Astyanax mexicanus: one gene and its partner. The protein of the gene in region 1 purifies or fractionates together with the protein of each later gene. This does not show direct contact. Links are inferred from orthologs where the notes say so. Each region holds a gene or a part of one and is shown on either strand. Other genes may lie near its edges.

What was found.
Region 2: the proteins of ribonuclease P protein subunit p21 (region 1) and rpp40 purify together in Homo sapiens (co-immunoprecipitation; 3 studies listed by BioGRID and IntAct, counting the BioPlex papers as one, with this or other methods). This does not show direct contact. The link is inferred for Astyanax mexicanus from reciprocal best matches to the Homo sapiens genes RPP21 and RPP40.

The regions. Positions count from the first base shown.
Region 1 is NC_064423.1:28,900,840-28,917,253, forward strand, and holds ribonuclease P protein subunit p21, read left to right. Parts: upstream 1-10,205; 5' UTR 10,206-10,677; coding exon 10,678-10,731; intron 10,732-10,819; coding exon 10,820-10,920; intron 10,921-11,590; coding exon 11,591-11,670; intron 11,671-11,803; coding exon 11,804-11,938; intron 11,939-12,368; coding exon 12,369-12,460; 3' UTR 12,461-12,921; downstream 12,922-16,414. UniProt on the Homo sapiens protein: Component of ribonuclease P, a ribonucleoprotein complex that generates mature tRNA molecules by cleaving their 5'-ends.
Region 2 is NC_064411.1:30,813,662-30,829,976, forward strand, and holds the start of rpp40 (ribonuclease P protein subunit p40), read left to right. Parts: upstream 1-8,654; 5' UTR 8,655-8,776; coding exon 8,777-8,893; intron 8,894-9,870; coding exon 9,871-10,012; intron 10,013-10,120; coding exon 10,121-10,189; intron 10,190-13,375; coding exon 13,376-13,471; intron 13,472-14,468; coding exon 14,469-14,576; intron 14,577-15,262; coding exon 15,263-15,461; intron 15,462-15,563; coding exon 15,564-15,698; intron 15,699-16,315. Other genes in the region: fitm1l (fat storage-inducing transmembrane protein 1), read right to left, coding at 1,871-2,510, 4,981-5,159. UniProt on the Homo sapiens protein: Component of ribonuclease P, a ribonucleoprotein complex that generates mature tRNA molecules by cleaving their 5'-ends. Also a component of the MRP ribonuclease complex, which cleaves pre-rRNA sequences.

The DNA of each region.
Region 1 (16,414 bases):
AGGGACGTTCACTGTTCTCCGCAGCTGATTAACTAGTCAGTTCGTCGGTTAAGGAACATTTAACGGAGGAAAACCACGATTTTTTTGTTAACGTTAATCTGTATGTTATTTAATGCAGTTTTTTCGGATTTATCGAACAGAATGGACGAAAGCAAAGCAAACGAACAACTTTAGTAACGTATTAGCAGAATTCTAATCGAAGGAAATGTGTTTATCGTCGAGTTTTCATGAAGGAGGCCCATGTTTCGACAACCTGCAGTTACTGTGAGTTAGCTAGCCTAGCCGACTAGTTAAGCTAGCCAGCTAACTAGCTACTGAACTGTTAAAGGCTAAAGTGTTGTTTGTCTGCTCTTTTAACAATAATTGTCGTTTATTTCCGTGTATATTACCTAAATGAGTGAGATCTAAGCTATTCTAGTTGTTTACAACACACAGTGGTCGTTATAAATGTAACGTTAGTCCGAATAGCTAGTTAACGCTAGTTTAGCTAGGTTTACCTTTATGCTAACTAACCTAGATTAGCCAATGGAATGGAGTTCGGACATTAAACGTTTTTAATAATGTTGCTATCTTATCTACTTAACTAAATAGCTTAATTATGGAATATTACTGTGCAGTCAGCTTCTAGCTACTTTTAAGTTATATGTTCTTTGTGTGTTTGTGGTTTCGTTTTAGTCAGGTTATTTTACTTTACTTCTGTGTAAAATAAACGTGATCTAATCTTTGTAACGTTAGTTATTTGCAACAGAGGGAGGTTAAATAAATGTTATCTAGACCTTTTGAATTGCATTTTATAGGAAAATACAGTTATATAAAGTATACACCGTTATATATACGGTATGTAAAGTTGGTGAATTAAGGTGAATTCTGGCAAAGGTCTGAAACTGTTTAATTTGAGTTGTGTTGCAAAGAATATACGGTTTTATTTAGAAATTATATGTAAAATAATATATTATATTATATTATTTTTATTAGCTTGTTCTTTGTTAAAGAAAGTATTTTTACTGAAATCTGGAGAGAAGTAGATGGCGCTCTAGGAGCAGGGTTTAATCTGAAAAGAAATTATGCCACCTGGTGGTAGTGTGGTCACATGGCTTTTCAAAGGGTTGTCATTTTTGTTCGTTTCTTTCGTATCCTCACTAACCTGGTAGATAAAATCATAAAGCATTTGTTAATCCCAGTCCTACCTTGACGTTTTTCTCTGTGTTGGTACATTTGTATGCAATACTAATGCATTGATAAAATGACAGCAAAAGCCTCTTAACATTTCTGTGCTGTATAAGCTCAGTCTCGTAAAGTATCGTGAAGTGGCACCAACCAATAGCTTTGTGCGTGGAAGCATTGGTGGTTCAGTGGTAGAATTCTCGCCTGCCACGCGGGAGGCCCGGGTTCGATTCCCGGCCAATGCATCACATTTTTTCTTAAACCCCCTCCTGAGTTAAGATTTTTTGATATCTCAGTCCGATTATGTGCTGCAAAAGTTAATCAAATATTTATTTTCCTTTTTTTTCCTTCAGTTTATGAAATCACAGTCCACAAGCTTCCTTGTATTGACTTCTTGCGAACCATGGGAACGTCTCCTCTCACTGCTTTGGTGAACGAAGTACCTGATAAGACATTTAAACACGTTGTTATTATGATTTTTCTCTTTTACATTTATATAGATTTCTGTATTGTTTTGTTGCACAGGTCATTGAAATGAACAGTTTTTTCAGGTTTAGTGGAAGACATGACACTCACTCCTCGTTAGTATAGTGGTAAGTATCCCCGCCTGTCACGCGGGAGACCGGGGTTCGATTCCCCGACGGGGAGAGTACTCTTTTATTTCCCCTTATTTCACCGCGGTCACGCCATCTGCACTTAGAAAACGCTCGGTCGCGCTATCCACACCGAAAACTGGAGTGCGCGTCTAAACCGTGTTTTACTGTAGCAGCGTGTCCAGCGCACCCGGAGGAGCAGAGACTGGCGCTTCTCGTGCAGAGACTTAAAATGGAACAGAAACTAGTTTTATACCTAAATAAACATGATTTAACGAGATCTAATCCACAAATATACACCAGAATGAACACTGCTTATCGGTAGAACAGTGTAAAGTTTTGGAAATGTTTGGAGAGCTATTAAATAGGCAAATCAAATTGTTATCATATCACAGCACTAAATTCTTAGAGATCTTATTCTCACGTATCCCAGATATATGTTTGAAGTGATATTACTGTATCATTTTGGAGTAATTGGATACCAAAAATGTCCATTCAGTTTTGTAGAAAAAATTTGTTTGGAGTGCAAAAAAATCTAATTGTTATCATATCAGACAATGAAATCCTTGAAAAAGACATTCCATACTCTTAATGTCATGCACGTCAAGTGATTTTGCTGTATCATTTTGGAGAAATTGGATACCAAACTTAGGAAAAATGTCTATTCGCTTTTGCATAAACCACATTTCAAAGTCCTATAAAAGCTGGTTTATAGGACTTTGAAATGTGGTTTATGCAAAACTCACCTACTGTCCTGCAGAGCTCTTTAACTGTACCGCGGAGGTTTTTAACTGTAAAAAGCTCCACAGGACAAGTAAAAAGCTCCACGGTACAGTTAAAAAGTTCTACAGGACAGTTAAAAAGCTTCGCAGGACAGTTAAAAAGCTCCACGGTACAGTTAAAAAGCTTCGCAGGACAGTTAAAAAGCTCCACGGTACAGTTAAAAAGCTTCGCAGGACAGTCGTTGAGCTTCTCAGGCCAGTTAAAGAGCTCCGCAGGACAGTAGGTGAGTGTCGCGGGACAGTACGTGAGTGTGTACTAGTTTCTGTTCCATTTTAAATCTCTGCAGGAGAATCGCGAGTCTCTGCTCCTCGGGGTGCGCTGGACACGCTGCTACAGTAAAACACGGATTAGACGCGCACTCCAGTTTTCGGTGTAGATAGCGCGACCGAGCATTTTCTAAGTGCAGATGGGGTGACCGCGGTTTATTTTTTTTCTGTTTTTTTTTTAATGCTTTATTTTAAAGCAATCCTTTCAATGACTAAAACGCCAATCCTGGTGAAGTGTTTCATACAGTGAATTTTCTTGTTCCTTTTGAACGTTTTCACTTGTACTGCAGCTTTGTATAGCCTACTGGCAAACGTCGTGACCACTCCTCGTTAGTATAGTGGTAAGTATCCCCGCCTGTCACGCGGGAGACCGGGGTTCGATTCCCCGACGGGGAGAGCAAAATTTTCTTTTCTTTTTTCCTCCTAAACTCTGCGGGGACTGTTTTATAAAATTATTTCTTAGATGAACCAAAGCTTGAAAGCTGTTTTAATGTTGCACTGTTTTAATGAAAACCTATTTTATGTAACTAAAGTAGCTTAATTTCAGTAAAACAATAGTGTTTACACCTAATATTTAATCTTGGGCCGGGGTTTTGCAAAGAGATTGTCTTCTAGTTTATTGCTTATCTTTTAGTTTATTCATTACTATAGCTGCTTTATCTAAAAAAAATGTAAAGAAGACTAAATGACAGAATAAACAATAAGGTTGACAGTTGTCCACAGTTTGCACAGGATAATTGACTTTTGGATGGTTTTAATGTTGGTTAAATATGCTTTTTTTTTTTTTATACAATTAATGACTGTCCCTGTTTTTGTGCTTGGTATTATGGACTCAAAAGCTGTGACTCTCAAATTGAAAAGAAAACTTATTTTGTGTACCTAAAGTAGCTTATTAAAGTACATCTAATGTATCATCTCTCGCCAGGGTTTGTCATTTAGTTGTCTGTAAAGCTATTGTAAGATGACGATTTTCCTGGGGTGGTCAAGGGTTTTGTGACAGTTTGGCCGGTTAGCTCAGTTGGTTAGAGCGTGGTGCTAATAACGCCAAGGTCGCGGGTTCGATCCCCGTACGGGCCAGTAAACTTTTATGTACTTACTGTGAGGAAAATAAGTATTTAAACACCCTGTGACTTTGCAAGTTCTCCCACTTAGAAATCATGGAGGGTTCTGACATTTTCATCTTGGGTGCATGTCCACTGTGTGAGACACAATATCTCATAAAAAAAAATGTAGAAACCACATTTTTTTTTTTTTTTTTTTTTTTTTTTATGAGACATAAGTGGACATGCACCTAAGATGAAACACCTGTTTATGACCTCAAACAGGTGCTTCTATTTTAGAATAATAAGTGGAGTGGAGATGGACTTTTAAGAGGAGGAAAACAGGTCTTTGAGGGACAGATTTTTTGTTTATTATGATTGTCTTTCACAGGTCTCTGCAATATTTTCAATGCCACATTGTTGGCCATGGCTGTAAGTAGGACAGCACTATAAATCTGAATCAAGTGGTTTGTGGTTATACTTTTCTCTGAAATGACCCATTTAACACAGACTTGGCCGGTTAGCTCAGTTGGTTAGAGCGTGGTGCTAATAACGCCAAGGTCGCGGGTTCGATCCCCGTACGGGCCACTAGCCTCCCCCCACCCCAAATAAACACAACTACCTTTAGATTCTATGCAAGTGGAGTTTATCACACTCATCTATATGCACACACGAATTAATCATACCCTGAATATCTAAATTATAAAAATTAAAATTAGTTAACCACTGTACCATTATGTATGCAACATACACATAACAAAACATAAAGAGCCAGATTGGGGTTTGCTAGAACTTGAAGGCAGTAATTTTGTGGTTTGCCTTTTCAGTAACACCTAGTAAGTAAGTTAAGTGTCTCTTCATACTTTTTTGACAAAGTGCTGTTAGTTTATTATTTAATTTACACTCACTAAATGTGTCGGTCCACAGGCCTGCAGCTACTTTACAGTTTTTTTTTATCTGATCTCACACCTGCTTCAACTGTTCATTGCATTGTAATGTAAGGCACCAGTGCTCCAAGAGCTGGGGGTATTTTATTTTACTAGATTACGTGATCTATAAATAGTATATGAGCTGTAAATCAGGCCTTTTCAACAGGATGGATAATGATTAACCTTAGCAATGGACTGTATTGGTACATGGCCAGTTGAACACTCACTCCTCGTTAGTATAGTAGTGAGTATCCCCGCCTGTCACGCGGGAGACCGGGATTCAATTCCCCGACGGGAGAATGCCTTTTAGTTTATTGCTTGCTTTATAAAGCTGGTTCATCTAAAAAAATGTGAAGAAAACTTGCTACATGTCCATTAACTTGTTTTATGAGTAACGTGGTTGGACTGTTTAAAATACTGGTAGGAAACAATATCAAAATTCTAAATATGTTATACGGGTGTTTAACAATCTGTGTATGCCCCCGACTGTGTGCTTGGTATTATGAACTCTAAAACTGTCAATCTCAAACTGTGAAGAATTATTTTATGTAAAACTTAATTAGCTTTAGTTAAGTAAAAATTATGTTTACACCTAATATTTAGAGACAGTTTTACAATCTGTGTTGTTCCAATGCAAACAATAGATACATATGAACATGTATCCTAAAAATTTTGTAATGCAAAAATGTTCTGCAATGTTTTTTGCAGGGGTCCGACACTGTTTGGCCATGACTGTAAGTAGAACAGCACTGTAAAAACTGAATCAAGACACTGTATTGTATTTATTTTTTCCTGAAGTTGCCTTTCCTTGTGGACACTTTGGCCGGTTAGCTCAGTTGGTTAGAGCGTGGTGCTAATAACGCCAAGGTCGCGGGTTCGATCCCCGTACGGGCCAGTAGCCTTTTACCCCTCATTTCAGACACACACAACTACCTTTAGTTTCTATGTACTTGATGTTTATCATACTCATCTGTAAGCACACAAGTTTTAATCATACCCAAAATAGAGAAAAAGAGCCAGACTGAAGTATTATAGAACTTGAAAGCAGTAAATTCATAGTCTGCCTTTTTAGTAACACCTAGCAAGTTTAGAGTACCTTTATACATTTTTTTTGACAAAGTGTTGTTATTTTATTATTTAGTTAAATTACACTTACTAAATATGTCTGTCCACAGGCCTGCAGCTACTTTACTGTTAGTCTCATCTGATCTCACACCTGCATGGCAACAGTGCACCATGAGCAGGGGGTATTTTATGTTATTAGGTTTTGTGATCTAAAAACAGTAAATGAGCTGAAGAAAACTTGCTGTATGTCCATTAACTTGTTTTATGAGTAAAGCAATAATGTTGGCATTGTCCAACAGGTTGCACTGGTTACTTTTTGGACTGTTTTAATACTGGTAGAGGACAATAACAAAATTCCAAATATTAACAATCATTAAATGCCTCTGACGGTGTGCTTGGTATTATGAACTCTATAGCTGTCAGTCTCAAACTGTGAAATAAACTTATTTTATGCTAAACTTAATTAGCTTTAAGTAAAAAAAAAGTATGTACACCTAATATTTAGAGACTATTTTATAATTGGTGCTGTTACAATGCAAATAACAGATACACATGAACATGTATCTTTAAGCTTTTGTAATTGGAACAATGTTCTGCAATGTTTCTGCAGGGCTCCCACATTGTTTGGCCATGGCTGTAAGTAGGACAGCATTGTAAAACTGAATCGAGTTACTGTATTGCAGTTATATTCTTTCCTGTAGTTGCCTTTTTTTTTTTTTACAAGCAGCTTGGCCGGTTAGCTCAGTTGGTTAGAGCGTGGTGCTAATAACGCCAAGGTCGCGGGTTCGATCCCCGTACGGGCCAGCAGCTTTTTCCCCTCTCGTCTGAAACACACACAGCTATATGGTTGGATTCAAAATTTCAAATATGTTTTACGGTTGTTTAACAATCAGTGGATGCCCCTGACTGTGTGCTTGGTATTATGAACTCTAAAGCTGTCAATCTCTGTAGAAGAAAACTTATTTTATGTAAAACTTAATTAGCTTTAAATAAAATTATGTTTACATACTTAAATACTATTTTAGAATTGGTGTTGTTATAATGCAAACAATAGATACATATGAACTGAATCAAGTCACCGTATTGCAGTTATTTTTTTTTCCTGAAGTTGCCCTTTCCATGTAGACAGTTTGGCCGGTTAGCTCAGTTGGTTAGAGCGTGGTGCTAATAACGCCAAGGTCGCGGGTTCGATCCCCGTACGGGCCAGCAGCCTTTTACCCCCTCACGCCAAACACACACAACTACCGTTGGATTAAATGTAAGTGAAGTCATTTTAGAGTATCTTTTATACATTTTTTGACAGTGTTATTGTATTTATTTTTTGTTTTTTTAATTACACTTACTAAATGTGTCTGTCAACAGGCCTGCAGCAAATTTAATGTTCTCATGCCTGCTTTAACTGTACATTGAGTTGCAATGCAAGGCAGCAGTTCTCCAAGAGCAGGTGGTATTTTATGTTATTAGGTTACATGATCTAAAAATAGTAAATCAGCTGTAAATCAGGCTTTCTCAGCAGGAGGGAAATGTGATTAATCTTGGTGATAGACTGTACGGGTACATGGCAAGTTGAACTCTCATTCCTCGTTAGTATAGTGGTGAGTATCCCCACTTGTCATGTGGGAGACTGGGGTTCAATTCCCCGACAGGGAGAATTCCTTTTAGTTTATTGCTTGCTTTATAAAGGTGTTTTTTCTAAATAAATGTAAAGAAAACTTTCTATATGTCAATGAACTTTTATGAGTAAAGCAATACTGTTTGCATTATTGTATCATTGTAATAAGGGTTGTTTAACAATCAGTGGATGCCCCTGACTGTGTGCTTGGTATTATGAGCTTTAAAGCTGTCAATCTCAAACTAAAGAATACCTATTTTATGTAAAACTTAATTAGCTTTAAGTAAGTAAAAAAGGTTTACACCTAATATTTAGAGACTATTTTATAATCTGAGTTGTTACATTGCAAACAATAGATACATATGAACATGTATTTTAAAGCTTTTGTAATTGCAAAAATGTTTTTCAATGTTTTCTGCAGGGGTCTCACATTGTTTGGCCATTATTGTAAGTAGGACATTACTGTAAAAACGAAATCAGGTCACTGTATTGCATTTTTTCCTAGAATTGCCTTTTCCGTGCAGACAGCTTGGCCGGGTAGCTCAGTTGGTTAGAGCGTGGTGCTAATAACGCCAAGGTCGCGGGTTCGATCCCCGTACGGGCCAGCACCCTTTTACCTCCTCACCAAAAACACACACAACTACCTTTGGATTCTTTGTAAGTAAAGTTTAGATACAGGTTGATGGGCCATGTGTGTCTTTGCTGCAGTTGAAAAATATAAAGGAGAACATTCTTTAGTGTCCTATGTTTTGACCCTGACCTGCATACTGCTGAGAAGCTTCCACGCGACTGGAGCGGATGCTTAAAAAAACATTCTTGGCCTACAGTGTGTGTACGGGACCTTCAGGTAGGCCTATGTGTCAAGTCAAAAGTCGACATCTATCATCAAAAATAGACTGAAATTTTAAGAATATGGAGAAATGCAAGAAGGGAATGTATGGTGTCAACAGAAAAAACAATTGTGTGTACACCTGTATGTACTATTTAGACTAAAGTTTTGGGGCACCTACAGAGAGTTTCTCATTACATAACATTTTAAATCTGTGAGCAGTAAATTGGTGTTCCCTTTGTAGTTATACCTAGTGTTAATTAATGAGCACAGCTAAATGTTACTTGATGCAAATTTGGCCGAACTTCCTCCCATAATTTATACTTATTACAGAGTCTGTTGACATGTGAGTTCAGAAGGTAGATTACTTTTTAATTTGTTGAAAACGTTCATGGTATGTCTTCGAAAAGGGGGCAGGTGATGCAGTAATTTATTATTATTTCTTAATTATTGTGCATTCCTTATTTCATGTAATGGGGAGCAATTGGCTTTTATTTTATTGTTCCTTTTCACATTAAATACTGCAGCCTCTGTTATCTGTTGCACCATTCAAGGTGGAACTGGAAAGTTAGTTGAACTGTTTTTACCATTACTATAAAACATTGAAATTACACTGTAGTAATATAATGGTTATCATTACGAGGAAAATACTCAAATTTGTGGGTTTCTTTGGTCGATTGTGCCACTATCTTGCTATCTATAGTATATCCTAGTATATCACAATAATGACTCATTGAAGCAATGTACTTAATAATGAAAAAAATATGTTTTATTTATATGGTGGAAATGGGATTCCATACTTAGTTTGTTAATTCCACACCAACCTGTTGCTCTGGTGGCTGATTGCAGCACCACGCTGAAATTTAGAGAGCTCTAGACTCGCCCATTCTTTCTATAATGTTTGTAAGGCATGCTGCATGATGACGCTTCATTATGTGCAACTGTGTTCCAATACTTCTGTCCATGTAGAGAAGATTCATGAAGATTGATAGGGATTTTTTGTTTTTTGAGGTGAAGTGACAAATAGAAGTGTCACAGTTTGGCCGGTTAGCTCAGTTGGTTAGAGCGTGGTGCTAATAACGCCAAGGTCGCGGGTTCGATCCCCGTACGGGCCATCATTGTTTTACCTCTCGGGGACACTGCACTTATCTGTGAATTAACGTTTGATTATAATAAACACGAGTTCGGTTGTTTAGCTAAAAATTCATCGTTCTCTTTTGAATATAGGATTTTAATAACCAGATGGCAGCATACACAAAAATGTCGAGGACTGAAATCTAACGCTATAAAGTTTCCACGTGAATTTTAGTAACGTTAACCTATATTGGTGTGTATTAAGTGCTTAACCCATTAGACCCTGTATAAACACCCACACCTATAAGAACCCAGACTCATTTCTATACATTGACACCAATTTCAAAATGAAAAAAGATACATTCAGTGAGCAGCTCATTTATGTTTTTCTTATTGTGGGCACATGACTAAATATTTAAAGAAAAAATCACAAAGTAACATAAAATGACAACTATTTCATAAATATTAACATTTTGTTATAGAAATAAGGTCAGAACAAAGAATTTGAATGATTGGAACATACACGTAGAAGCAAATAATACATAATCCAGTTTAGTTTAATCACTTGTGTATCCTGTAAATAAGATGAACAGATTCACACACTGTTCTTATGTCAATAAAGAACTTAATGACTCAAAATAAAGGGCAGAGTGCTGCAAAGAACTTTACAAAGCTTTTAAATGGTCTTTGACACACATTTATGTCATTATGGGTTTTTTTGGGTTAAGTTCTTTACTCTCTACAGAAATAGCATCTGGCCTACAACATAACCCTGTGGAGAGCCACACAATATGCTAAACCAATTACAATGCTCCCAAATAATTCACTATTTTTTAAGTGCTGAATAATTTATCTATAGGGATCAAGGGTATGCTATATACTCACCATAGATTACTTCACAGTTTTCCTCTGTCTCAAGCTTCCTGAAATATCTCGGTAGGAATCCTGTACTGACTTAGCTAGCTCGCAGATTGCAACAGCAAGCTAACTCTAAACAATCTGTAAAGTTTTGGAGAAAAATGTGTTGGAAAAAAGAGAGGACCTGTGTTTTTTGTAGGCTGTGCCTGGAGGGTTTATATGATTTATATCAAGGGTTTGCACAGCGTCTAGAAGTTTCAGAAGCACTGCTTTAACCAAGAAGAATCTTACCGCTCCACTGCTAGTTCCCACAGAAAGGTGGCGATGTGCGACTAATTGCTGCTGTCTGCCAGAAACAACGAGGAAAAGGAGAGTAAACACAAGCGTGAGTGTACGTATGTCGAGTTTGGTCTAAAACTCTCCCAGTAAGGATTATTAAGGCTCTAGAATATAGTGTTGGACACATGGCGGGAATAAAAGATAAAGAGGCTTTCCAGAGGCTGAACTTCCTCTATCAAGTAAGTAACCTGATGAGAAAACTCAACTTTCTTAAGCTAAATAGCTAAATTAAATAACTAATCTCGTTTTTCCACATTTGAAATACAGGCTGCTCACTGTGTTTTAGCCCAAAACCCAGAAAATATTGAACTGGCGAGGTTCTACTGCTTCACCCAAAAAACAATAGCCAGACGACTGGTGCTGAGACAGTGAGTATCAGTCACTTCTACACACAGTTTAATTTAATGGAGGTAATGCAGGTAATGATTTTAACCCAGAGGAGCCCACGGTGACATGTTACAAACCCTTAAAAAGTTGTGTAGAGTTCCTTCATTTTAATTCAGTAAGTCTCTAAGTGACACAGACTGAACATCCTGAGAGCATCACAACATAACACTGTTTGAATCTGTGTAGTTCATCCATCTGACTATATTTATAGAATGTAGGAATGTTGGGTTAGTGCTTGAGATAAAACTAGCTCCTTCTTTGGCTTCTACTGCTTTTTTCAATCATTTTAACAATTCAAATACTTTAATAATAAATATTTGTTCTGCTCTTTATTACATCATGATTGTGACCCAAATTTTTACAGTCATATGGCAAAAATAGTAAGAAAAATCCATGAATGCGAATTTATCTCCTCTCTTATGGGTTAATAAACTGACTATAAAGATACTCTGATGGTCCACTGGATAGGCTGTTCTTGCTGGTTGAACAGGTAAAACACATCAAAACAACCTATGTTGTTCAATAGCTAGACTGGGAATTACTTAAATTAACCAGCTAAGCAAAAATTCTCCCAGGGTTGTTTATTGTAAAACAGTAATTCATTGGAAACTCTTGTGATGCTTGTATAAGATGTACTGTGCCTTCTTACAGAGATCCCTCAGTGAAAAGAACCTTATGTAAGAGATGCTGCTCTCTACTGATTCCTGGAGTTACATCAACTGCCAGACAGAGTATGTTCTGCTCCTCTCCTTTCTGCTGATCCCGGCAGTGATTTATCTCAAGTTTTTTTGTAATGTATAAAAAAATAATGGGTTGGTTTGATAAAATATACCTACATGGATTTGTCTCATCTGAACATATCAGGGAGTCGCAGAAGGCAGTGTGTGACTGTTATACGATGCCTAAGCTGTGGACTGAGCAGAAAGTTTCCAAACAATCCAAAACATCAGCTGTGGGTGGACCAGCCAGAGGCACAGCTAGAAAATCAGCCTCAGACAGGTAAGAATGATGACTCGTCATGATTTATTTCTTTTTAGTAAGCTTAAACAAATAGATGAAATTATTCAATAAACGCTCCTGAAATGTTGCCATATTTTACATTTTCTGGTAGATAGATAGAAATATTTACCTACATACTACCATGTTTATTTATTTATTTTATTTTAAGTACAGTACACTGTAAGTTATATAATGATTATATAATGATGACAAAATCCTGCATTTACCAACCATGGTTATGCATGGGGCACAGCCAGTTCCTTCCCCTGTGCTCTACTGTCTCTCTCTCTCTCTCTCTCACTTATCTTTTAACTACATGAGAATGACAAGATCCTACACCTAACACTGTTTGGTATTTGACAAAATATGTTGTATTTTGTACCTCTACACAGTTTCATATATTTGTCTTTGTTGTATTGTGTGCCCACAGAAACACAGAATCAGTCATCCAAAACTGCAGTCCAGGGTGATACATCTAAATCCAGCAGTGCTGCCCCATCAACACACAACCCTTCCTCATAACTTCCCAGAATCCCTGAACCTCTTCAATATCTGATTTACCACTTCAGACTGTTTATTTCTAATGATGAGGATTATGCTGGTGCTATGATCCACGTCCTCTGCATGTTGTTAAAATTGCAAGACCACTGTGTGACATTTGATTACCTGTCTGTCCAGATGAAAAATGTTCATGCACTGGACACAGGCTCTAAATGATTGCTGTGTTCTTTTGCGTAGAATCTTTACAATCGTTGCTTAATTTATTTTCATGTCCACATTAAAAAGTAGTTTATATGACAAATTCACAGTCTGTACTAAATCCTGGACCACCGTATATATATTTATTGGTTGTGAAGCTTACTATTAATACAATGTTGGGTAGAAGATTGAGTGGCATTGTTTGTTAGAAGTTAGATTTGCCTGGTAAAATAAAGGTTTAAATTAAAAAAAAAAGAAGAAGTGGCCTAACATCATAAAGCATTGTTTGGTGTATGTTTGTTTACATTGAACATTCAGAAGTTAGATCACAACACAAAGTACATAATTTTTACTGCAGTTTTTTTTTTTTCACTTTTAAAAAACTTTACAAAGAAACTTGGTGACAAAAGATTTCATGATCTGGAATGGAAAGATGTTAAGACAGTCTCTGGTATTTGTTTAATAGAAGAGCAGGGGTGCCTTTATTTAGTTCTTTTTTTAAAACATGTTTTTAGTAAAGAGCTAAAGAGCATTTCCCCTGTAGAGGAACAAGGCTAAGATCTTGCCTAACAATATGAGGTTGTATAATTATAAAAAGGTTTTAGATCACAATTCATGTCGTTTATGGTTTTATATTTGTTAAGAGTTTAATTCAAAAGTTTTAGAATTAGAATTGCATGTCTCCCAACACATGTATGCTCAGTTCCTTGTCAGTCACATGCAAATGTAATTATAAATCATTTAGATTAGTGAGACATTTCATCAAAATCAAGTGATAACATATGTCAAAATGTCCTAATAAGATGAGCAATGAATTTACTCTGTAGATCTTTATTACTAGTACACAATTTATAGCTGATACCTGTAATTAAGAGTTTATACAAGTTAAAACTACATTACAGTGATCTTGCATAGGAGTTTTACTGGTAAAATGTAATACTTCAGACATTTCAAAGCTGATGTCTGAAATGTACAATGGCCCTAAGGGCGCATCATGTAAAAAATAATAATGTGTGGCCACGATATAAGGCGTGGGAACAAGATCCTAATTAGATAATTAAGTGGTGGCGATGACTTAAATGTCCACATCTTAAAAATGTGTCCCCAGGCTGGTCTGTTTCGCACGCTTTAATAAGTTGTGGCCAACCCCCTTTTGGTTTTTCACCTTAAGGGCTCGGAGTGTTTTATATATATATATATATATATATATATATATATATATATATATATATATATATATATATATATATATATATATTATTTTTTTTTTTTCAACACTCATTTGTTTATCAGTGAGTTACGCTATCACTACTTGTTATTTTAGGCTAAAACTATTAAAACAATTGTAGCTAGTAACTTATATGTTTGCCTGATTGTGCAAACGTAAGTAACAGACTTAAAATTCATGACATAAGTAGTAGTTAGCTAGTTTGATTCAGGAGCACAGGAACAGCTTGTAAAACTAGTAGCTAACACAATAATTTGGTACTACACTATTAAAATGTCACAAGAAATTGGTTCATTGTATTTAAACTGTAAGGTTGCTCAATCTAACGTTACCTACTAACCTAGACTAGCTGTAGTTCAGCTGCTGGTGAAACAGTCGCAACACTAGCTGATGAAACGAACTGAACATACTTACGTTTGACGTTAACTACCTAAAATATCTGTGAAAAACACCTCACGACGGCAGTTCAGACATATTAACAACTAACGTGAAGTTTACTAAAACAAATAAATACAACGTGATTAAGTTTAGCAATGTGTTTAATATATGGTGTTTCTCGAATGTACAACGTAGATTCATGAACCAGTGTGTCGATGCAGTAGCTTCATGGGCCAGTGGCGCAATGGATAACGCGTCTGACTACGGATCAGAAGATTCTAGGTTCGACTCCTGGCTGGCTCGATTTTTTTTTTTTTTGAGAAAGGTTTTAGTTTTATTTAATTGTGATTGGTGGGGTACTGTATGGGCAGTACTTTGTCCTGAACCATTTTAACTTGTTAACTTTGTCTTCTTGCATGAGGAAGACTTGAATGTGGTCGGACCTTGTATGGGCGGGGCTGGGGTCTTCTGCATTGGGATTGGTTGGATTTTCTTCATGCAGATTGGTTGGAAGTTCTGTGGGCGGGGCTAGAACTTGTTCATTGGTTCCATCAGACAGGGCATGTTTCGTCCAGAACAGAGCCGTAGAAAGATGTCTCTATGGCTCTGGTCCAGAAGGGACGCTTAATACTGTATGGGCGGGGTTTAATTTTATTAAATTTTATTGTTTGGATCTTAGATCTTGTGTGGACCGGGATGGATTCTCTCCACTGGGATTGGTTGGATCATACAGCTCCGGCAAAAAATTAGGAGTCCACTTCACGTTCTGAATCAGTTTCTCTGATTTTGCTATTTATATGTATATGTTTGAGTAAAATAAACGTTTTTTATTCTATAAACTACGGACAACAATTCTTCCAAATTCCAAATAAAAATATTGTCAAATTGAGCACCTATTTACAAAAAATGAGAAATAGCTGAAATAACAAAAAAAAAGAAACTTTCAGACCTCGAATAATGCAAAGAAAACAAGTTCATATTCATAAAGTTTTAAGAATTCAGAAATCAATATTTGGTGGAGTAAACCTGTTTTTCACCAGTCTTACTGCTTTTAGCTGCAGTTCAGCTTGGTCTGATGGCTTGTGATCATCCATCTTCCTCTTGATTATATAAGAGGTTTTCAATTTGGTAAAATCAAAGAAACTTTTCAGTGATCTCTTTTTTTCCAGAGCTGTATATGGGCAGGGCTTGTTTTGCCCAAAGGGACTTCATCCATTAAGACTTTTTGTACATTGCATAGTTGGGGTTTGATTTTATACATTGAGACTATTTGACTATTTTATGTCTTTTATGGGCAGGTTTTTATCTATTGAAGTTTGATATTGAAAAAATTACACAATCTTGTGCAAAGTAACAAACAAGACAAGAGCCATAGCTGCAGAGGACTTTTATCCTTCAGGATCTGCTTCCTCTGACACATTATACAGCAAGGTTCTTAGTTGTTGGTGAAGCAGCACATGACTTCTCCCCACGTTCCAACACTGCATAACCCAAGTTATGTTTGTGTAAAATCCTGTAATATGACGCTACAGCACCAGTCAACCTACTTTGTCCACCAACTCCATGCTTTTTTTACACTGACAGAGGCTGTAGTGTGATAGGTAAGAGTGGTACTTTACACAAAATGTACTTAAACAATTACATTTTGTCACTGTTCGCCTACAAAATAGAATCAATCTTAAAAATGACAATTTTAATAGAGACTGAAAACTCTAATTTTTCAATAGATGTCAATATAAAATAAATATTCCAAGTAACTGTGGAGCATTTGTATTGGTACACCCATTGTGAGAATCACAATGTAAGACAATTAATGACAATTTAAAGAACTGCCAGACTGTGAACATAAAAAAGCAAAAGAGATAAAAGGGGTTTGTTTTACAGCAATGATATGTTATACATGAAATAGGTTTTGTTTTTAAAAAACAATAAAAAAAGTTTAACACATTCCTAGCCCTTTTATCAGCCAAATGAAAAATGCTAGATCCAACATGATGCTACCATTATTTTTTGAATGAAAAAAGTAATTACATTTTCATAGAAAATTACAGAGAAATAGGACACTGGTCTGTTGAATAATAGTTGAATGATATGATATGAGAAATTGCTTATTATGCTTATGAACATAAACTGTAAAGTAAAAACCAGTTTATTCTAATTCCAAACTAACT
Region 2 (16,315 bases), on another chromosome or scaffold:
CCCATGTTTATTATATGTTTATTATGTTATATAATCCACCACATTTTAATGTATCATTGTAATGTTTCATTTACTGATTTTTTTATACAAAAGGGGTTTTTATAAATGCCGTGTAGGCCGAGCTAAGTATATTAGTCTGGCCCTCAAAAACCGTTAATATTTTTCATGTGGCCCCTTGGGAAAATTAATTGCCCACCTCTGGTATAGGCAAATCCGAAATCCGGTATTAAATATACAAGTACAAACTTTTGATAGTAGCCCACATCCTTTCACCCCCAGCATTCTGAAATACAGCGCTTTAAGCCGATGTTTCCAACAGGCTTACAATGCTAGTGATAGGGGCATAGCATTGCCCATGCATGAAAATGCTGTTTTTGCACCTTTAACAAGCGCAAAGTAGCTCCAAACTTAATTGGTAGATTTCTTTTTAATTGAAATGAGACACTGAGGCCTTTGAATGTGCACAGATAGTTTATAAAGAAAAAACAAAAACACTGTTTATACACACAATACCTTTAGGTCATTTATAAAGTGTGGCGCTACTTTGAGCTTGTTAATGATGTAAAAATAAGCATTTCTTTGCATTGGGTAACACTATGCCCATACCACTTTCATTGTGAGCCAGTTGGGGGCATCGGCTAAAAGCACTGTATTTAGGAATGCTGGGTTGATGGGGCGAATGGAGGTGGGCTGTTCGACAAAAGTTTGAACTCATTATAAATACGTCCATATCATAGTGGACCTTTTACAAAATCATTCTGTGATGAATAAAGAAGAAATTGCTAAGTTGTTAAGAGTGATGCTAATAATAGCTTGGTTGTATTTATTGGGCTGTAGCTCAGCAAAAAAGCTAGTATAAAGTCTCTGGTAGTAAAAAAAAAGGGATTAGGCATTCCCAGTGGCTGCAAGAGGTATTTGTGTAATGCATGCTGGGTATTGTAGTAAGAGACCAGTGGAATCCGGAGCATTCCAGCCTGACTGAAACATAAACCTGCAGACACACATGGTGCCCTATCGTACACCTTGCACAAGGAGTGGTGCGATGCTTGTTGCTATCTTACATCCTGTGAACAGTTTATTATCATGCCTTGCATTAAAATTGCATCGAAGTTTAGGAATATATTTACATCGATGTCCGTGGTGGATAAGAAGTGGGGTGTGTTCAGGTAAATATCTGTCATGTTTCAATTTTGGCGGTGGGAAACACAACTATGCCACTGACTGATTAAAACCATGATAACTGTCAGCCGCCCAATCATATCTTAGCCATGCAGGAGTACCAAGCGCACAGCGTGCCCTCAGCCAGGGCTGATTCAAGGCATTTGGTGGCCCCAAGCAAAATGGACCCAACCACATACTATCACTACCTCAACAATAAACATAATAAAGAATAAAATTACATTGCTGTTTTCTTAAATAACCTGCTGCTGGTGTATCTTCACAGCATTAATGCGCAGGTCAGTATGAGGTTCTTAAAAGTAATGGAAATTAGTGCACTGATTGGTTTATTTCATGTTACGCCCAAAACAAACCCATGATTAATTAAGAGAATTAGTACATTCCTTTTGTAAGGTGTATTTTTAACTATAGAGCGCTAAAATAGGGCCCATGGTCACCTCTTTATTAGACCCAGGCCAGGATAAAAGGCCTCTTTCTTGACCTCCTTATAAGCACAGTTTGTGTAAATCCAAAAACTTCTTGGTGTCAAAATTGTTGAGATAATTTGTTACAGTGACAAATCAAAAGAGATACTTAGTAAACGTACTAGACTAAATGGAAACACTGACACTCATTACTGCTTCAGAAACATTTCTGAGGTAGTTTTTTATTTAAAGAGTGACATCCTGATCATTCCAATCAAATTCCGTCTTTATGTAGTCAGAAGCCCCATCCCTGGCCTTCCAGGGCAGTACCAGCTTGGTCCCATGTGGTACCAGCCCTGATACGTTGCTCTCCAACTGAGGCAGGCCAGAGCGCCCCCTAGGAGCTGAGTGGGGAACTGTGGGAAGTAAGCCAGCAAACAGAAGAGCAGGAAGAGCCAGAGGCTGAGCAGCAGGACGCAAAAGAGGAAGATGATTCGCAGAGGGGCCCCAGAGACCCCGCCCAGTTTCAGGTAGGGCCCGAACACGCCAGTCTCCTCTGCAAGCAGGAGGCAGCACAGACACAGCAGGAAGACGTCCTCGGAGACCTCGTAGCCGCGCCACATCAGGCCGGCACTGACACACGCGGCCTTCGTCTCGCCCTCCCGTAAGAGCAGCAGCGGCTGACCGGCACCATTCTGCCCGGCGGAGAGGTCAGGGGCAGAGCTCAGGGGCTCGTAGCAGCTCCCTGTAGCGTTCTCTAGCAGACCCAGGACCTTTCTCAAGCCCACCCACAGCACCCCCGCTACAGCCAGCCGTGACAGATGGCGTAGGGTCAGCGGGATCGACCGCCGGACAGAGAAGGTCAGGAGGAAGGTGAAGGAGCCGACGAAGATGCATGTCCAGCCCCAGCCTGACCGCAGGAACACCCTGAGAGACAGAAAGACAAGATATTAAAAAAAAATTAGTAAAACAAATCAGAAAATTTTCATTTCATTTTCAATTTTCATTGCAAGATTGGCTCAAAAATGATATACACTTATTTACTGTAGGGGGAGCCCAGGAGCAAAAAAAACCTTTTCTTGCATTATGCTGCTTTAAAATGCTGTGGATGCAGATAACCTCTTTCAAAGACTGACCCTCATTTTGTCCTCCATAGCCCCACCCCCTTATTGCTCACCTGTGTTTTGTTTATAACCCCACCCAGTAGGTGTTCTGAGGTGTTCTTTTTGTGTTCTAGTTCTGTTTTAGTTCAGTTGTTTTTTAGTGTTGTGTTTATGGATTCCTCTTCTATCAACATGGAGTTCACAGACAGTCCCCTAGCCTTTTATCTACACTCAGCAGCCACTTTATCAGAAACACCCAGCAGCATGAGGCAGAGTGTGGGAGGTGCTGGATCCTGATTAGCAGGATGATGCCATAATAAAGACATGTTTATTTATGTCAGTTATTCTTCTAAGTGCTGATAACTGCCATCAGCTGATGTTATGCTGCATTTCATTTGTTAGGATTTTCCTAGTTTTAAGTAGGAAATTTCCATTAAGTCATATTTCCTTTTTCAGAAAGTCAGAGTTTCACAATCCAAGAAGGATGCATTGCACATCAACAGTAGTAAAAGCAACAGTATTATACTGCACTTTCAGTTTGGGTTTACTTTGATATATTCAAAATCGGTGTATTAGTTTTTTAGTATCTGGTATGAATTTGGTGTGATATTTCATATCCGGTATGAGTTGTTTATTCAGTATAAATTATTAATTATCTGGAATTATTGGAATGTACACTATCCAATATAAATTATTCAGTATCCTGTATGAGTTGTTTAGCATCCATCGTATTTTCAGTGCCCATTATGAATTATTCTGTTTCAGGCATAAGTATGCGGTATTAATTTTTTAGTTGCAGGTATGTGTTATTCAGTTTCTGCTATGAATTATTCAGTTGCAGGTATGAGTTCTTCAGTATATGCTTTGAATTAGTCATTGGCAGGTATGAGTTATTCAGTGTCTAGTATGAACAGTGTTCACACGCACCTCAGCGAGTTCACACGCTCACACGCCACACATGGTATTTCTCACGATTGCCAATCCAATCGGCTGTATATTATAATGTACTCTCGTTGAGCCAATCAGAATATAGATCGCTCTGTTGTTAGGCAGACCTAGTGAAAGAGGGTGGAGTTTTAGGCAGAGTGTCAGGCGCGAAGAACTGTCCGATTCGAAAGTTCCGAAACACACGCCGGTGAACAACTGAAGAACGGTGGCAACCCCGCCCCACCCAATCACCCCGGTTTAACAACTGAAGAACAGTTTTAGCTATGAGCAATTCAGTGTCTACTATGAATTATTCAGTATCCAGTATGGCTTGTTTAGTATCAGGTATGAGCTGTTTAGCATGAATTATTTAGTTGCAGGCATGAGTTTTTTTAGCTCATCTAAAATTTATCATCTAAAATTTATCTAGTTAGAGTGAGAGTTGGAGAGTGTGGAGTGTGTGCAAGTTAGATTTGAGGTAAAGGTGAGCTAAGGTAAAAGTTGCTCAGTATCCAGCAAGAGTTGTTCAGTATCCGGTATGAAACTGGGTTAGCCAGTTACAGTGAGAGTTGGAGTGTGCACTGTTAGAGATGAGGTGAAGGTGAGCTCAGGTATGAAGTGTTTAGTATCCGGTATGAAACTGATGTGTAAGGCAGTAAAACTGTATGCCGTTAGAGTTGAAGTGAAGGTGAGCCCAGGTATGAGGTGTTTAGTATTCGGTACAAGTTATTTAGTATACGATATGAGTTGTTGAATATCCAGTATGAAACTGATGTGTAAGGCAATTAGAGTGAAGGTTGGAGAGTTAGTGTGCTGTTAGAGTTAAGGTGAAGGTGAGCTCAGGTATGAAGTGTTCAGTATCTGCTATGAGGTGTTCAGTATCCGGTATGAAACTTATGTGTTAGAGTTAGAGTAGGAGTTGGAGAGTTGTAGTGTGTGCTGTTAAGAGTTGAGTTGAAGGTGAGCTTAGGTACGAGGTGTTCAGTATCCGGTATGAGGTGTTTAGTATCCAGTATGAAACTGATGTGTAAGGTAGTTAGAGTGAAAGTTTGAGAGTTAGAGAGTGTGCTGTTAAAGTTGAGGTGAAGGTAAAGCTCAGGTAAAAGGTGTTAAGTATCCGGTATGAAACTGATGTGAATTAGAGTGAGAGTTGGAGAGTTAGAGTGTGTGCTGTTAGAGGTGAAGGTGAAGGTGAGCTCAGGTATAAGGTGTTCAGAATGCGGTACGAGGTGTTCAGTATCCGGTATTAATCTGATGTGTTAGGCAGTTAGAGTGAGAGTTGGAGAGTCGGAGCATGTGCTTTTAGAGTTGAGATGTAAAGGTAAAGGTAAAGCTCAGGTATGGGTTATAAAGTGTGTGTTACTTACCTATAAAGAAAATGACTCCTCTTGGCGAAAACACTGTACTGGGAAACCCAAAAGTTCAGCAGGGGTCCAAAGACCACCATGGCCGACAGCAGCAGGTGAAAATGCCGCCGGAATAAGGCATTTCCCAGCAGTCCTGCCGCAAGGTCAGTCACAACCACGAGGAAAGTGTTCAGGAACATTTGTGCAAATGTGAACCAACTCCAGCTGATCGGCTCAACTCAACGGATTCCCTCCAGAGTCCCAACTCAATCTGTCCTAATCAGTGTTCTTCCACATCATTCCTCTCTGGGGCCGGTTCTCTATTAACCTTTAGTAGATCTCCATATTCAGCTCAGCTCTTCCAGAGGGTCTGGATTCTTTAGTTCCAACAGCAAGTGTGCTCCTGTAGTGTGCTACTGTATTTATACTGTAGTTTTCCCCTTCATCCAATAAATATTCTGCCATTAACAAGTCATGATTCCCTCGTTTTTGTGGTCTGACTGTAAGCATGTACAGTATCTCCTGGTATTTGCTGAACTGCCCAGTTGCTCCAACTTACAGCCTTGAGACCAACACCCCTCCCACATTTCAACATGACAGAAAAAGATCCATCCCCATGGTGTAGTCCCACCCCCCCCCATGCCCTCACATTTACACTCACACATGTAATCTAATGCAATGATCCTCTGTATGTTATTTTAATTGAGTAGTACTAACACTTAAATAAATATGATTTAAGAATACAGCCTAGTGTTAAATCTTGATGTTTCTAAAGTGTGGACTTTTCTAAAAAATAATAGAGGTGCTTGTAAGTTTTCTGAATCAATATTTCTGCATACTTTTCCTAAAAGTAGACAATGATATATGTAAAAAATGAAATGAAATGAAAAATATAAGACTTTTTTTTAATGAATGATCTATTTGTTATCATTCTTCATCTGTTAATAAAGAACGATCTAATGTTACATATCTGTGGGCATTTTCAGTCACTGATAAAGGCCTTTTGGAACAATGTTTTGTGAAGGGATAAGACCAAAATTTAGTGTTATGTTTGAAGAAAGTAACATCTTTATCCTATCTGTGAAACATGGTGGTGATAGATTCATGGATTGGTCCTTTTTTGCTATATCTGGGCCTGCTGGATGGCTTGCAATCACGATAGAACAATGGTTTCTGAATTATATCAGCACATTCTGAGGGATAATATCTAGACATTTGTCTTTGAGCTAAATCTTGAGAGAACGTGGGTCATGCAGCAAGACAATGACCCTAATCATGCAAGTTGTTTTACCAAAGAATGGTTAATTAAACTATATTGACCTTAATCCAATATAAATTTCCTGGAAGGAGCTGAAGTAGCTGGTCATGTGAGAAAACACACCAATGGGCTACAATTCCTACAACACTTACAAAAAAAAACTTTAGTTGTTTTCAGTTTTTAGATACTGAAAACAATGGTTTATATACTCTCGCCATTCCAAGATGATTTAGGTCAAATTCATGCAGAAATACGGGAAATTTTCCAAACTTTTAAGCACATCATGCTATTGTTGTGTTGTTGGCAGATGCATTATCAATTGGTATTTCATTGGTGAAGAGCAGAATGTGTTTAAAAATATACAGCACCAGCAAACTATGGATGTACCTGTAAATGTGTTCTCTGTTAAAGGGCTAAAGCAGACCTTAAATCCACCATGGACCTCTTGGTCCAAGCATTTGGAACTGCAACATGACCCAAAAAAGCTGTTATTTCAGACGAAATGGAGCCTTACTAAGTGCTAAGCACTAAACTCTGTAAGGTGTCCAAGCTTTTGCATAAGACTGACATTTGGGAAGGGTTAAGCGTGGTGACCAGCACGAAGCGCTGTGTCTCTATCTCTGCTCTTTCTATTTTTAGCTTCAGCTGTTAGGGTCAGCACCTGGGAGTATTTATCGCCGCCTGTCCCGCTATCCGTCTGTGTCTCACAGCTCTCTCACAAATAAAGCCCACCCTTTCAGCCTACAGTAGAGGTCTGCACTCCCGCGGGAGTCCCGCGGGACCCGCGGGACCCGTCAGAATATGTTGCGGCGCGGGACAAAACTGAATTGTTATTGGCGGGAGCGGTAATTTAATCAATACAGGCCATGCGGGAGCGGGACCACATTAACATGTGGTCCCGCTCCCGCAAATTGATAAATAGTTAAGAAAATTATAATAATCACGCTATGATTCCCATGCAAGCAACAAAAAAACACAAGAAAAATCTCTCGGAGGATGGACACACACACACACATTTTCAGCATCTCCAGCAGGCGTGTGCAGAGGAGGGGGGGGGGGGGGGAGGGGGGTGTGTAATTTAAAGGACGACATTTACTATACTGGTGCAAAATAATAATAATAATAATAATAATAATAACAATAATAATAATAACAATAACAAAAACATTGTTATTATTATTATTGTTATTATTATTATTATTATTAATAATAATAATACAAATATTAATTAAACTAATTGAATTTAATTTTTTATATTTTTACATTTATTATTTTATATAATATAGATCCACTTCTAATCCACTTCTAGGATTCTTGATGCACCTGATGGCATGTGTTTGGACTGCGAACTGAATTGCTGTTTTAATAAATACATATGTAAATTTGAAGCACTAAATGTAATTAATTCAATTCATATTAGGACTGCGGGACGGGAGCGGCGGGAATGTGTATGTGGCGGGCGGGAGCGGGATTAAAAGAAGTGATTTTTTTGCGGGAGCGGGCGGGAGCGGGACAAAAAGACGCGGGAGCGGGCGGGAGCGGGTTTAAAAAAACAGTCCCGCGCAGACCTCTAGCCTACAGTCTGTTTAGCCCCGCCCATTCAGCCTACAGCCACTTCAGCCCCACCCAATAGTTTTACCTATTCAGCCTACAGCAGTGTAGCCCATCCAAATATATAATTTTTCTAAACGTTAAAAATAGACCTAATAAATGCAATAAAAAACACATTGCAATCAGCAATCCAATTATGAAGAAATAGAAATATAATATACATTACTATGCACTATACATTAATTAAATATAATTAACTAATAATATATTTAATTAGAAAGTAATATCATTTAATCATTTATTTAAGATTAATGGCAGATATTTGTTTACAACCGTGTCACTTCAGTTAAACACAGATATACAGCTGAACTGATGAATATATCAGCAGTATTGGGATGGTTATAACACATATTGTGTTTTTTCTTCCTTTTTTTGGGTCGATCTTTTTTAAGACTTGAAGAGGAAGTTGGGTAAGGAAATTCCCCTCAAAGACCAATATATATTGTATATTTTTGATGAGCCTTCGTTTGAGCGCAAGGAAAAATGTATAGTAAATTTAATTATAATTTTAGGTAAATTTGATATTCACAAAAATAAATTTGCTTTAAAAATACCATAATTCCAGATTTTTGTCTATTCAGACCTAAAATTTATTTACACTTACTGACTCATTTTATTAAATTAAAAAGTAGGAAATCACAATTTTCTTTTCTCTGTTTTTTTTTGTTTGTTTAGGTTTGTTTGTTTGTGTTTTTGTTTTGAGGTGCTTGCGATGTTGCTTGTATATGATGTGTTTTTCACTTATTATTGAGATGGTTATAAGTATACAGAGTTAGTTGTATACAAGGAGACGCACGTGCTCTCCGGGTCAGTAGGGGGCGGCAGGGGCGCGAGCGGGTCAAAAACACGGTTCAGCCGGCATGGTGAGCAGTGCTGTACTGTCAGTGTGTCTCCCCCCTGCTTTATTATAAATTAGTTTTTAATAATAACACAATTAAATAGAGTAAGATGAGCCCGGAGCTGGAGCAGTGCCCGCGGAGTCTGTTAGTGTGTGAAAAAGGAAACTTCAAAAATGAGAAATCCCGCCATGAATCCCAGGCGCTGAAACACAGCTTTAACTGCAGGGTAAGATACTGTTCCACCTTAAAAACAGCTGCAGCTACAGCGCTTCTCAGCACAGTTTAAGGTGGAGCGGAGAGCCTCGGTTATAAACAGTACATTATTACTACTAAATCAGAAAGAAAGAGAGACTGCAGTGGAAGTGAGGCTGGTGTGTGTGGAGTTATTACAGTCTGTAGTCTGTATATCAGAGTAAAATTTACCAGACAATAAATTAATTAAAATTAATAAACTTGAAATATTGAGTGGCATACATTCTAAATTTACATTTTAACAATGTTTTTATGGGCTTAGAACTTGTATTGTAAAAGTTTAAAAATACCTTTGAAAATATCTCGTATATTTGATATCCGTAAAATATCTCCAAATGTATTTTGGATATAGGTTATAGATTTGGGCTAACTCGTATTCTATTTTTCATCTTCTATCATCTCGTCTTATTTTTTTGTCTATTTACTCCAGTGTTATTTTTTAATGCATCCAAACTTATATTTACTAAGAAAGTTATCTTTAACATTATAGTTTATATTAATGTCCCCAGCTTAGATCCAGTCATCTAAAGTTGGTCCTTCTTGCTGTAACCAGTTTGTTGTCAGTTGTTTTTTTAACTGGATGCTAAAAGAACAGCCAAATACATATTAGTTCAAATTTGTTTCATGTCAGGGTGGACATAGCCTAAATATAGCATCTTAAAATTAAAAAGGGATCTCCCTTCTAAATATGCTTTACAATAACTCAAGTTTATCAAAAGTCAGATAAACTTCATATTAAAATATAAAATGCAGATTTAAATAGCTTTTAAGCTCTATAGGAATTGTGTTGATTCAGCTTGTCAGTTCACTGTTTAAATACATGAGTTCCCTGAATTATTTTAGGCCATTCTCTTGTAGCTGTTAAATGTGAATGTAAACTGTAAAAATAAGGGGTGTTTATATATGTAATGTATATAATGATAAATATAATATATAGTTTTTTTCATGCAGATTTCCTTATTGATACCTGAGTGTGGAAGACTGCCTGTGATGCTGGAGAAAGTACTTAGTAATTTCAGCTCATATTTCCATGTCCAAGACTTTCCAGTTTCTACATTCCTGGAAGAGAAATGGCTGGATGCAGTGAAGAAAGGTAGGAGTGAGGAGGAATTCGAGAGAGTGGAGGAGTTGAGAATAAGCGGCTCAATTCAGTGCTTGTGGTGTGATGGAGTCCTTTATTCACTGTTTGTTTATCCTTCAGGAGGTTTCTATGCACTGTCTTCCAAAACCAGAATTGATGAGGACAATGTTGTTGCTGTTTTGCCCAGCGGTAAGTACCATAAGTGCATACATGCAGTAATGTGCAAAAAGTGTGTGTGTGTCCTCAGTTTTCATCATTTTTGCAATTTTTTAACATCTACTTTGTTTGGTCCAGACCTTCAGACTTTTCAGGTGTTTGGTCTGAGCTAAAATAGTAGTAATAGTGAAAACTGCCACAAACCACAGCCTGTTCCAGAGGATTTAAAAAGGTGTCTTGGTCTGGATACACTGAACCCTGGTTTGGTTCAATTACAGTGTAAAACATTGGTGTAGATAGTTTGACTCTTGGACCAATTACAAGAAGTTAAGGCACACTATTGTCAATTTAACAACAGAAAAAGAAAAAAAAACAGAACCAGTGCTGTGCCATAATCTGAGAAACCTTCACTTGTAACGCCTGTCACATAGCAGTATAGGTGGAGAGCTTTACAGACCCTCCTGTATCAAAGCAACCCTAAACTGTGAAATCTCACTTCACCATACTTGTCAGAATCTCAAGAGCTATGAATGAGTTCAGGCTGCAGCTGAGTTTATCAATGCGCTTCAACTCTGTAAAAAGAACACATTTCTGCAACACAAGCCTTCTAATATTATTAGAAGACACACAATAATCCAAATACTTATGAGGTCTGTTATCTCGTTTTTAACCACCTACCATATTCTTCACACAGTAAGGCACATTGTATTATAAGGCACACTATTTTTGGAACTTTCAGTCTACAATCTGATACACTCACCACTAATTGGCAAAAGAGTAAGCGGTTAACGGCTAATGCTAATGCTGCTCCAGTCTCGGTGGTGGAGAACTAAACTGAAACTCCTGTACTTCAGCAGAGTGGTGTTACTGCTCCTTACAACCTGACTGATAAAATTCATACATAAGGCGCACTGCCATAAAAGTCACATGAATTCAGATCTGGCTGTTCAAACACAGCCTTAAATCAGATATATTACTATACTATCACATGATACAATCAAATTACAGAACACAGTGGAGCCGCAAAAATATGAATCCTCCTGTTATTCAGCAGAAAACCTGATGGTTTCCTTCTTCAACATGTGTTTTGATGTTATTTTGTAGGAGGAACTGGGCTGGAAAATCAGAATTTTTGAGTGGTATTGCATTTCTGTGTGGACAAAGATATTTTTAAAAATCCAGACAAAAAAACACTAGTGGAGGGTGCCCCCTGCTGGCCGAACACAGGTGTTCCAGGCGTTGTGCTGAATTCTGCCTCCTACCAATGGATGTGTGTGTCATGCAGCAGAATGATACCTTTATTTCTGTTTATAATCAAGGTTTAGTCTACAGTTCTAGCACGTACAGGAATCACCAGATTAACCTGCTGCCCATACAGGACCTAGGCAAGACTGGTTCTTCTTCTTCTTCTATTGTTTAATGGGTGACAATATCTATAGTCTCTTAGTCTCTTTCTGATGGTAGATACAGTATCTTCCAAACCATCTAAAAAAAGTGTTCACACTGGAACAAACTGAAAAGTCAGAAGGTCTGCACCGAAAAAGCTAGGTGAAAGCTGCTTAAACGAGCAAATTTAAATGTCATGTTTTTTTTTTTTATAGAACCCTTAAAGGTCTCATTTTATCGTTTTTTTTTTTTCCTCAGTAATTTTAAGATGTGCTGTGGTCTCTTTAAAAAAAGCTGTGGTCTCTAGTATGAATGAATGCCATGTGAGCTGTTTTTTGTGAATAAAAAGTGCTCCAGTGATTCTGTATAATGCTACTTTAGTCCAGTGGAGGAGTGGAGGGAGGAGTTGGCTGAGCCGCAGTAAAATCCTGGGGGGGATTTTTAATTTAACCACTGTAAACAGAACTGTTTTAAACACACACCTACCTATCTCGAATGTACTTGGCTGGTGTTGTTTTATAGACAAATTCTAACCATTTGTTCCTTAGCTCTGAATTACTGGGTAAAGACCATAACTCTGATGTGTTATTTGCACAAATAACACAGGACTGAATGGCCATGCTGTTCCTAACGCTGTTAGCTCATGTCTGACAAGACGGTGGTGCTGTCTGGCCTCAGCTCTGCCTGTGGGCGGTGTGGGACCCTAAATTAGGATATTAGGGATCAATATATGTTATATTACTCATATATTAGTACATTTGGCCTTATATGAACGAGTTCATTGAGTTCAGTTAAAACTCTGTCTGCTCTTCCTCAAGTAAGGCCCAGTCTGCACTGGGTACGGCTGTGAGGGGGAGACAGATAAGAAATATGCTGAGTCATACCAGGTGTCTCAAGAGGCCCAATATCCCACGGGAAAGCTGGGCAGGAGAAGGAAAAGTGGAGCTAAAAGCCCCCACCTTTGTTCACCCAAATACTGTATAAAAGTGTGTGTATTCCTCTGTATTATCAGAAGACTGAAGCTTCCTGGCTGACTTCAAGAACAATAAAAGATCAACTTAGAACTTCGGAAAGACTGGTCTTCTCCTTTCTTTAAACTTAAGGCTCTCGTCTGTTTTTACCTTGTTTCTTTTGAACTTAGAACTTTTGTAGTGATGCATGACTAGATAAGTTTTAGAGCTCATTTTAGCTAGCCCAGGCTTCCCTTTCTGGGAGGCCTAGAAGAGTCGTGAAATAACGCACGACAGCGGTCACAAGCCAAGGTGGGCGAGGTCATGAATACTAATTCACGGGTTGATGTAGACACGGTGCTTTTCCTGATCAACTCGTTTTTCTGAATATTTTCTTTTCTTAGCTGCTGCAGTCAATGGATGTTGAGGAAGTGTTTCATGTGCAGCATCGTATACAACTCAGAGAGACCTGTAGTATTTCACAATACAATGATTACACTCAGCTCATGATTTAGTTTCATTCTCAATTCTATATTCTCACTATGATTTGGACAAGAATGAGTTCTGTTTTCTGTAAGTGAATGAATAGAGTTAACTGTTCACTATTCACTAACTAGTGAAAGAGTTAGTTCTGCATTAGGGTAATGAATAGAATGTCTGTACCCCACGAGACTCAGTTATGTCTTAGTATTAAGATCAGGGCTTGGTAATGCATTTCTGATCCCCTATAAAATACATTTAACACTGATACAAGGATGTAACATAAAGCTACAATACTATATCAAAAAAAGTGTAACTCTCGAAACAGACTGTGCAAGATTATGTGTGTGGTTTAATGTGATTTTATTTAATTTAACATTGTCTAATGTGTTTTTTGTTTCAGGTCAGCTGATCTTGTCTCTGGATAAGGACACATATGAGCAGCTGGGCCTGGAAGGAAGACCTTCCCAATACAGTCACAGAAAGACCGTCAGACACAGTAATGCCTTCAGTTAACCAGAGGATTTCTTAAAATATTAAGATGTACACATTGAACTGTATCCACAGTGAGTGCGTTTATATACACATTTCATAATCCGATTATAAATAGGTTGCTGCATCCTACTTAAAGGAGAACTCCGGTGTAAAAAAGACTTTTGGTGTAGTAAAACATGATAAAAGAGTACTTACCTTTGATGAATAGCCCACCTCCGCTCTCCAGCATTTTTCCGAGATCCATTTATTTTGTGCTTTTTGCCCAGCACTCTTTACAACAGGCGCTTCAGGGCATCTACTTGGCTCCTGCAGATAAATCGCTTTTTACACCGTTATTCAGGCTCAAAGTATCTCCATCTCTCATTGGTAGAATCTGGGGAGCCCTAACATTTAAAACAATACATTAATAACTTTAAAAGTGCACAAGAAGCTTAATAAAAATCACTGTTTGTAACCCGTAGCGTAACCCTCATGACACCAACATTTTAAAGTAAAATATTGATCAGTACAGTGATGGCGGTGCTCAGAGATTAGTTTACGCTATGGGATATAAACAGTAGTTATTAATAAGCTTCTTGTGTATCAGATTTAATTTTTAGAGCTCAGATTTTTGATCTCAGTAACATCTACAAATCATATAAACAAATCTAAAAAAAGAGTGCTGGAATTTAGCTCAGTAATCGTATTTCTCAGTTCATCTGATTTTTGGGTTTTAAATAATGTTCACGATGCATCTTATTATGTGAGATTATTGGCTGGTAGCAAAAAAAAAGAGTTTTTCCATTATTTGATCACCCAAATTCATGTAGATGAATTTATTGGATTGCTGACAAACTGATCCTCCATAATCAGATTATGAAGTGCATGTAAACTCTCTTAACATAAAAAAAAAACATTTACTGAAAAAAACAAACAAACAAAAAAAACAGAAATCAGACAATTTTAATAAACTGTTACTGTCTCATCCACAGGAATGTTTATTTATATTTCTATTTTTACAGTTGTTACTGTGGATCTTAAATCTTTGGTTCTGGGCACGAAGAAATATCAGCGGGTTCTGCTGTGTCTGAAAGAGAGAGTTCCACTGAAAACCGACTTCCTCTTTACAGGTCTGTACCCGATCACCTGAACATTAGTCTGGAATTAAATCTCTAAAAATTGCTGTAAAACATCATAGAAAACATCTGGAGTGATTTATAATGAGGTGCAATGCAGACTGTACAATTAGTACAGACATCATTTACATATAAAAGAGCCTTAAAGGCCTATACTGTGAGGGAACAATGGACTCTATTTTAACGACCTACCGCGCACCAGGCAGCTTGATTTAGGGTCAGTGTGTCTTTGCTATTGTAACAACAGGAAAAGTACAACATGCACGGCTCAAAATGTGCAAAAATTAGTCTTGTACTTGCAATTCCCTTTAAGAGTCAGGTGCACTCTGACTTTGGTGAATTATTATTTCAAAGGTGAAGCTACCTGGACATGTCCAACGCTTCTCCGCAGATAAAACTGTGTATTAATGTAAAAGTACACTGCCAAGATAGCAATGAACATCTGACTGTTGAAATTTACCTGAACACACCTTAATTCAAGACCGTTGTTTTTATTTAAATGATGCAGAGACAAGTCATAAAAATATACATGACGGGATGTAAGATAGCAATGACCATTTATTACAGTTACAGTTATTTTTGACCTGTGCTAATATTAGTTTTTTTTTGGGTGGTGGGATAATCTGAGGTGTCAGTGGGCGTACAGTATTTGCTGCATTGTAATTCCCTGTGTTGCTCAGCTGCAGGTGGAGCTGTATCTCTCCTGGACCTGCTGTCGAAGCAGTTGTATGAGGAGTGTAGACCTGCTCTCCACTGCCGGACTCTGCAGGACCTCCTGTGCCCCTCGCTCATCCCCTCTGACCTGAAGGGGGAGAGCGGTTCTGTCACGCCGACCCAGTTCCTGGAGTGGCTGGGGGCGGTCAGTCTCAGTATCAGCTGGTGAGCAGGCTGTGGACTGTGTTTGTGTGTGTGTGTGTTGGGTTTTTTTTATGATGGGTGGACTCTTAATTAAGAGATGCTGTGGTGGTTGTTCTGTTTCAGTGATAATCAGGCGACCAGTTTCCTGTCCACCTACGCGTGTCCAGAGCCTCAGAGCTCGGTCAGTCAGGCTCTGCTGTGCACAGTGACCGGCCTCATCTCCCCGCAGGACGTCTGCAAACTGCTGACAGAAATCAGGTGAGCTTGGTGTCTTTAATGCTGTCTGATCCTTTAACAGATACAGGGGTTGGACAATGAAACTGAAACAGTTCTGGTGGAAACAGGAGAGTTAAGGTGCACATTGAATTCTGTCTTGATTTGGGCAGCCTTGGCTTTATGTTTTTTGGATACAATCTGGGTTAGCACCCGAACATCCCTTTCAGACAGCTTCCTCTTACAGCGTCCACAGTTAATCCTGTTGGATGTGGTTGGTCCTTCTTGGTGGTATGCTGACATTACCCTGGATACCGTGGCTCTTGATACATCACAAAGACTTGCTGTCTTGCTGCAAGACGTGCACCAACAATTCGTCCTCTTTTGAACTCTGGTATGTTACCCATAATATTGTGTGCATTGCAATATTTTGAGCAGAACTGTGCTCTTACCCTGCTAACTGAACCTTCACACTCTGCTCTTACTGGTGCAATGTGCAATTAATGAAGATTGGCCACCAGGCTGCTCCAATTTAGCCATGAAGCCTCCCACACTAAAATGACCGGTATTTCATTGTCATTGTCCATGTATTTTGATACTTAATACTTTAATGTTTCTAGTGATTTATTTCCAAGATGACAGCACCAGCACATACAGTGGCT